Oryctolagus cuniculus: one gene and its partner. The protein of the gene in region 1 binds, or shares a complex with, the protein of each later gene. Links are inferred from orthologs where the notes say so. Each region holds a gene or a part of one and is shown on either strand. Other genes may lie near its edges.

Region 1 (3,644 bases):
TTTAGGGGCCAGCGCTGTGGCATAGCAAGTTAAAGCCCTGGCCTGTAATGCCAGCATCCCATATGGGCACCAGTTCAAGTCCCAGCTGTTCCACTACCAATCCAGTTCTCTGCTATGGTTTGTGAAAGCAGTAGGAGATGGCCCAGGTCCTTGGGCTCCTGCACCCGTGTGGGAGACCCAGAAGAAGCTCCTGGCTCCTGGCTCCTGGCTTCTGGCTTCATATCAGCCCAGCTCTGGCCATTGTGGCCATCTGGAGAATGAACCAGCAGATGGAAGACCTCTCTCTCTCTCTGCCTGCCTCTGCCTCTGCCTCTGCCTCTGCCTCTGCCTCTGCCTCTGCCTCTGCCTCTGCCTCTGCCTCTGCCTCTGCCTCTCTCCAACTCTGCCTTTCAAATAAATATTAAATAAATCTTTAAAAAAAAAGTTACAGAAAGGCTGAGGATGAGAGAGCGCGCGGGCAAGTGAGCTTCCATCCATTGGTCCACTCCCCCATCCCCACCCCCACCCCCTGCAAATGGCCTCAACCGCAGGAACTGGGCCAGTTGCAAGCCAGGAGCCTTGTGAGTACAGCGGCCCAAGGACTTGGCCATCCTCTGCTACTTTACCAAAGCCCATTAGCAGGGAGCTGTATTGGAAGAGGAGCAGCTGTGACTCAGAAAGGCACTCACGGAATGCAGGCACTACAGATGGCAGTGCTGGCTCCAGCACGGGCCTTTTTTGTTAAAATTTTTTTTTAATTTATTTATTTGAAAGAGTGACAGATCTTCCACCTGCTGGTTTACTCCCCAAATGCCCACAAAAGCCAGGGCTTGGCCAACTCCTTCAGGGTCTCCCACATAGGGGTGGCAGGGATCCAAGTACTTAGATCATCTGTTGCTGCCTTCCCAGGCATATTAGCAGGAATCTGTGTGGGAAGGGAGTAGCTGGGACTCAGACTGACACTGTGATATTTGATGGAGGCACCCCAAGTAGCGGCCTAATCTGCTGTATCACAGTGCCTGATCCAATGGCCTTTATGTTCTTGGCTTAGACTAAATTGTTTTCAACTGAAAACTAAGCAAATCTGTTGTATCTAAAAGTGCTACCTACCATACAGAAAACATTGTTGGATTTTGTGATTATCAGTTTTACCTAAGAGTATACAGTAGTGGGGCTAGATTTGTAATTTTGAAAGCCATTTTTCCCTGAACATGAGCTTCTAAAAATTGAGCTTTCAAAAGTGTTATTGGTTTAATATTTGGAAGACATTATAGTTACTAGTTAAGGACTTTGGACCAGTCACTTCTGTCTAGGCTGGCTTCCTTGGGAGTTTAGTCACACATTTCTTGTCTTTCTCTTTTCTAACTTCATAGAATATAAGACTTTGAACAAAGAGTCTTATATTCTTGTGTGAGTGACCAAGATGTCATTTATCATTTTTTTTTTTTTATTTATTTTTTTTTTTTTTGACAGGCAGAGTGGACAGTGAGAGAGAGAGACAGAGAGAAAGGTCTTCCTTTGCCGTTGGTTCACCCTCCAATGGCCGCCGCGGCCGGCGCGCTGCGGCCGGCGCACCGCGCTGATCCGATGGCAGGAGCCAGGAGCCAGGTGCTTTTCCTGGTCTCCCATGGGGTGCAGGGCCCAAGCACCTGGGCCATCCTCCACTGCACTCCCTGGCCACAGCAGAGGGCTGGCCTGGAAGAGGGGCAACCGGGACAGAATCCGGCGCCCCGACCGGGACTAGAACCCGGTGTGCCGGCGCCGCTAGGCGGAGGATTAGCCTAGTGAGCCGCGGCGCCGGCCTGTCATTTATCATTTACCATTAATTTTGTTCTTTTTGTTTTCATTTTTATTTTTAGGTGACAACTTGAAATCTGTATAAGATTTTAAATTCTTTGTTGACCACTGTTATACAAGCAAGGCAGAATTTATATAGCTGCTAGGCACTAAAGTATAGTAGGTTTTCAGAATTTTCTCAGGTGATGACTTCTCATGTTTCTCTCCACCCTTTGCTTTTATCCTCTACTAATGAATACATTTGTTTCATTCTAGTCCTCTTGTCCATCTGTTCTCTGTTGTGTGATCCCAATCCAGATGATCCTTTAGTGCCTGAGATTGCTCGGATCTACAAAACAGATAGAGAAAAGTAAGTATGGCCTCTAGACAGAAAGTGTACAAAGTGGGATTGAGATGTTTGTCTCAAATCTTTCTTACAAGATTCTTAAAATGAAGTCCTAATAAACTTCCCCACGGACAGGAAAAAGGAATATTTGCACAAGTATCTTTATCAGTGGATGATACTGTTTTTAATCTTGCTTTCATAAGGCTCCTACTATCTAGAAAAACTTTTTTACAGTGTATTCTCCAACAGCTTTATGTTGTATGTTTGGCTTTGGATACATGAAACATTTTGTGTCAAGTGCCCATTTTCTTATGTAGGTATTTGTAAATTAATGGGAAAAGGGAATTGATTTTCTACCATTTGGCATAATCTAAAGGAAAAAAGTAAGTAAATGCCATTAGACATGAAAGCCCACATTTCTTTTAAAAATAAAATGTGACAAACAATTTAGATGTTTTAGAGTCAGACTGAATTATTGAAGAGTGGTCTGGATATCAAAAGAGAGTAACTAAAAGTGTTCTAACCATTTTTGTTATGTATTATTCAGTGAGATTATAAGAAAAACTAGATGGGAGAGGCTGGTAGTTTTTTCTTTTCTTTTTTTTTTTTTTTTAGTTAAAAGAATAGAGAAGTACTTAAATTCTATTGGCTTAGAGAGAGACACCAGTAGGATTTTTCTTTAATGAAGCTACACTTGCAAACGGGGAACTCTAATAGCTATGGGTTCTTAGTTTTTGTTTGTTTTTCTGTATTATCTATTATCCTAATTTTTTCTCTGCCATGTGCTTATTTGGAATAAAATTGTATTATACTTTTTTCTATTTGTGGATTTATTCACAAATGTTTTTTGATTGGAGAACTGTAGTCCAGTGTCTAGAGCTGGGGACTTGAATGGCATTTCCTAATTAATTGTAATAATGTTCCGTAGAACTTTCCTGCATCTCTAAAAAGAGAGGAATTACGGAATGTTTTTCTTCATGTATTTTTCTACTCAAATGTTCTTCTGGAGCAAAATGCCTATTCATTTTGTCAAGCACAAATTGTTGAAATTAAGTTCTGCCAGAACCAGTGTTTTATTGATATAAAGCGAAGTATTACGTCCGTTGGCACATTATTAGTATATGATTTCAAGAACCATATAGTGTAGAATTACATATTTTCAAGAATCTCAAATAATCGAATCAAGAGTTGAACCTATTTCTTAGAAATACATCGATCAAATATATAATATGGTGTATGCCAGCAAATGCTAAAATTAATCAGAATCCTGTAAGTGGCATTTACAGCAAATTGTTTGCATTTTTTAGCTGTGTCCTATATTATTGAATAAGTGCTTATTAAAAATTTGGGATGTAAAAGTGGCTTTGCCTGAGTATTTTGTGGGTTATTCCCCTCACAATACTAGATAAGATAATGAATGAAACCTGTTGTGAACTAATTGACATCTCACTGTTGTTAAGCTAAGCTTCTCTTTGTGTGTACAGGTACAACAGAATAGCTCGGGAATGGACTCAGAAGTATGCGATGTAATTAACGAAATTAT
Region 2 (3,744 bases), on another chromosome or scaffold:
TATGTTCTCTTTTTCCCTGCTTGCATTAATCTTCCCTTTAACAGCAAAGAGGGAAGGATGTGGTTAGCAGAGTACTCCGGATCTAATTATGATCCTGGCTGGCTGGTTGATCTAGATCAGCCTGTCCAGGTGAGGACCCATGGTCCTGGTGTAAATTACAGGACACACAGTTTTAAACACAGAAGCAGCTGTTGTCATGACACTGGCGACGAATGTTTAGTTGCTATCCACAGTAGTACCTGGGTGATAAGCATCTCTTGGTATCTGTGGGAGACTGGTTCCATGACCCTCTACAGATACCAAATGCAGATGCTCCAGTCCTTGTATAAATTGACACAGTATTTGCATACATCCTATGAACCTCCTCCCACATACTTTAAATCATCTCTAGCCTACTTATAAGACTGTAAGACAATGTAAGTAATATGCGAACTGTTGTACTGTACTGCTTAGGGAACAATGACAAGAAAGTTTATACATGTCAGTACAGGGTCCCGCTCCAGCCCACCCAATACTTCCGGCGTGCAGCTGCTTCAATCCGTGGATGGGGAACCTGCGGACATGGAGGCTGACCGTACACAGAAGCAGGCGTGCTTCAGTTCCCTGTGCTGCTCCCTCTCCACCAGGAGCACCTCTAGCAGGAGTTGTTATCAGTGGTTCTTTTTTTTTTTAATAAAAAGCTTTAGGCAGAAACTTCACAACACAAAGCTGTACACCTCACAGATAACAAATGAGTGGTTGCTCACACAGGACTGGGGAGGACTCAGACCACAACAGGCTATCGGCTACAGTCACTGCGGCTCTCTCCATGGCTCAAGGTGTCTCTACAAGCTCCCCCGAACAGTTTGAAAACCACTCATCTAGGTGGTCAGCACTGGCTGGGCTCCCTGAACCAGGGTACAGTGAGGTGCAGCCTCAGTCAAGACTGGCCCTTCAATACTCTGCCTACCAAGCTACGACTTGGGTCCTGGATGGAGGTACTGGCTGGGATGGTGGTAAGGTGATGACAGAAAAAAAATGGGAAGATGAGAAGATCTGGAGTCAGACCCGGATTCCCAGTCACAGCTTTGTATCTTCTGGCAAATCACTTCACTTCTGGGCTCATCTAGTTTCTGCAGGTGCCCAGATCTCAAGAGATATGGGGTCAGCGCTGTGGCATAGTAGGTAAAGCCACTGCAAGTCCCGGCGGCTCCACTTCTGATCCAGTTCCCTGCTAATGCGCCTGGGAGAGCAGCAGAAGATGGTCCAAGTCCTTGGGCCCCTGCACCCACGTGGGAGATCCGGAAGAGGCTATGGGCTCCTGGCTTCATATCGGCCCAGCCCTGGCAGTTGTGGCCATTTGGGGAGTAAACCCGTGGATGGAAAATCTGCCTCTCTAACTCTGCCTTCCAAATAAATCAATCTTTTTTAAAAAAGTTATTAAAGCAAAGATGGCTATGTATATTACAAATGCATCCTGATCATCTCAACCATTCTATGATGCAGCTGCCACACCCACTTTTTTTGTTTTTTTAACAGCTGAGGACACTGACTCACAGAGGCTAAATGGCCTGGTTAGCACCACACAGCTAATATGTGGAGTGAACCCACATCGTTATCCTGTTTCCAAGTCCCAGAGTCCTTGGAGGTTCCGGCTTCTCGTTAAGAATGCTCGAGAGAACTAGGAGGGCTTTCTCTGTGTTGTGAAGCTTCACGCACAGGACAGCCCTCGTTAGATCGGCTGGGGAGAGAGGAGGCTGAGGAAGGCGCGGGCGGTAGTGAGGCTGATCCAAGGGGCAAGGGGGCCAGAAGGTGGAGGGCACCGGGTGGGCGAGGTGGGGAGGTCTGATGAGCAGGCATCGCCGGGGCCCCTGAGCACATTCACTTCCAGAGGACAGGACGGGATGGGGTGAGGCCATAGCAGAGGGGATCCAACCGGAGAACGTGCGTCCCGAACTGGCCGGGCCGGCGCTGTCTCCTCGCAGACCGGCGCCCCTTCCACCTCCCGCGCCCAAGTCCAGAAGCAACCCTAGGAGGAGATGTCAGCGTCTCCGCCGACCCTCCTCGCTTGCTCCACCCCCACACGCCCGCCGCACGGAGGGTCTGCGGCCGCCCCGAGTGCCCCCGGCCAGAGCCAGGCCGACAACCGAAGCCCATGCCCCCGAAGTTACCAGTCCTCCTCCCCTGCAGCTGCCGACGCTGACGCCGCCATGTCGCCTCCGGCCCGCGGCCGGAACCGGAAGTGCCCTTGGGGAAGTCGGAGGCGGAAAACCACGGGGGCGGGGGGACGCCAGCCGGGGCCGTTTCTAGGCAACCGCGGACTCCGGGTCCTTAGTGGGACCTGATGGCCGAGAGACAGTTCGGAAGTGTCCCAGGAGGTGCCTATGGACGGCCCACCATCCCTCCCACCACCTCTGAGCGCCGTTGTCCTCGGAACTTGTGACCGGTTCTAGCGCGTAAAATTGGTGAGAACGGAAGCCTAAAGAGACCAGGACTAGGGAGCGAGTGGAGGCAAACTCCGCCAGGCGCAGCACGCAGGCAGCCAGACGGGACGGGGCTGAAGGCCAGCGCCGGCGTCCCTCGGCCAGAGGAGCTTCGAGCTCCTCGGCTGGGGGTGAGAGGCGGGCCCCCGCCAGCGAAGCGCGTGGACGAGGGTCTGGGCGCGGGTGCAGAGGAAGTTGGGAGTGGCGGGAACCAGGGGTAGTCTGGAAGGCGGGGTCGATGGGCGAGGCTGGTTTGAGGGGGGCGGGGTCGCGTGGGCTAGGCTGGGGGGCGTGAGAAGCAGAGGGGATGTTGGGTGGGCGGCAGGGCGCTGAAGAAAAGGAACTCCAGGGAGACGCTCCGGTTGTGCCAGGAGCTCGTGGTCTTTTGGTCCGCTCTGCCTTCCTGTGCTTCTAAGACCTGTTTTATTATGAGAAAGCGAAAAGGCAAGGCGGCTAATGTTGCCTCTTCTCCCCTGCCCGAACCAGGCCTCCCCGATGTGTCGAACTGTCCCTGGATCCGTAGCTCGAAACCACCGCCTCTAACTTCTTCCTTCTGAGAAACTCTGCAGCCACTGTCATGGAAAAGTACCACGTGTTGGAGATGATTGGAGAAGGCTCTTTTGGGAGAGTGTACAAGGGTCGAAAAAAATACAGTGCTCAGGTGGTGGACGAAGAGGGCTGTCTTTTGGGTGGGATTCGGCACCCCAAACTCTAGTGGAAAACAGAGCCAGCGGCATGCATTTATACCGACCTGTATTCTTAAGGGACTCTCTCCTTCCTACATCTTAGGGAGCATGAGCCCTGCAGGTGGATTGCTGGGGTTCAGATCCCAGCTCCACTACTTTCTAGACTTAGATGAGATAGAGGGGGAAAGGAGGAAAGAAAAATGAAGAGGAAAGAAGAGAGTGCAGGTGGTTTCTCCCTTCCTGCATAGTATGATTAAGACGAAAAATAGTATTTATTTGTTTACTCGGTGCACTCGGAACACCTCTCCCAGAATCCACCAAAGCATCTGTTGAGCAGAGGATATATCCTCCTGGGCCAGGATGGGGGACTCCTGGGTAAGGCCAGGGTGCCATCCGTGGGGGAGGTGGAGGTAGGAGACTAACAGGTGTCATGGAGTTACTCAGACGATCTGCAGTCTGAGTTCTGGAGTTCTGAAGTTAGGCTGAGATTGTAGCTCTGTTCAGTGGCGTGGGGAGGCCCTGACTTGTCACTTTACCACTCACAGGTGGTGGCCCTGAAGTTCATCCCCAAACTGGGGCGCTCAGAGAAGGAGCTG

The links.
Region 2: the proteins of UBE2D2 (region 1) and RNF25 are in contact, whole or in part, in a crystal structure (PDB 5D1K), measured with the Homo sapiens proteins. The link is inferred for Oryctolagus cuniculus from reciprocal best matches to the Homo sapiens genes UBE2D2 and RNF25. Residues at the interface, in NP_003330.1 of Homo sapiens: Leu3, Lys4, Arg5, His7, Lys8, Glu9, Leu10, Asn11, Asp12, Arg15, Ser22, Pro25, Gln34, Thr36, Val49, Phe51, Asp59, Pro61, Phe62, Lys63, Phe69, Thr70, Thr71, Arg72, Ser80, Asn81, Gly82, Gln92, Ser94, Pro95; in NP_071898.2 of Homo sapiens: Val136, Ile137, Cys138, Leu139, Tyr140, Cys161, Arg164, Tyr165, His168, Pro199, Val200, Arg202, Gln220, Met222, Glu223, Leu224, Tyr225, Gln226, Arg238, Leu241, Tyr242, Arg244, Gln245, Arg248, Gly249, Gly250, Ile251, Ile252, Leu254.

The regions. Positions count from the first base shown.
Region 1 is NC_091437.1:27,308,783-27,312,426, forward strand, and holds part of UBE2D2 (ubiquitin-conjugating enzyme E2 D2), read left to right. Parts: intron 1-2,031; coding exon 2,032-2,125; intron 2,126-3,585; coding exon 3,586-3,631; 3' UTR 3,632-3,644.
Region 2 is NC_091434.1:20,765,369-20,769,112, reverse strand, and holds the start of RNF25 (E3 ubiquitin-protein ligase RNF25), read right to left. Parts: upstream 2,365-3,744; 5' UTR 2,192-2,364; coding exon 2,151-2,191; intron 1-2,150. Other genes in the region: STK36 (serine/threonine-protein kinase 36), read left to right, coding at 3,040-3,123, 3,694-3,744. UniProt on the Homo sapiens protein: E3 ubiquitin-protein ligase that plays a key role in the RNF14-RNF25 translation quality control pathway, a pathway that takes place when a ribosome has stalled during translation, and which promotes ubiquitination and degradation of translation factors on stalled ribosomes.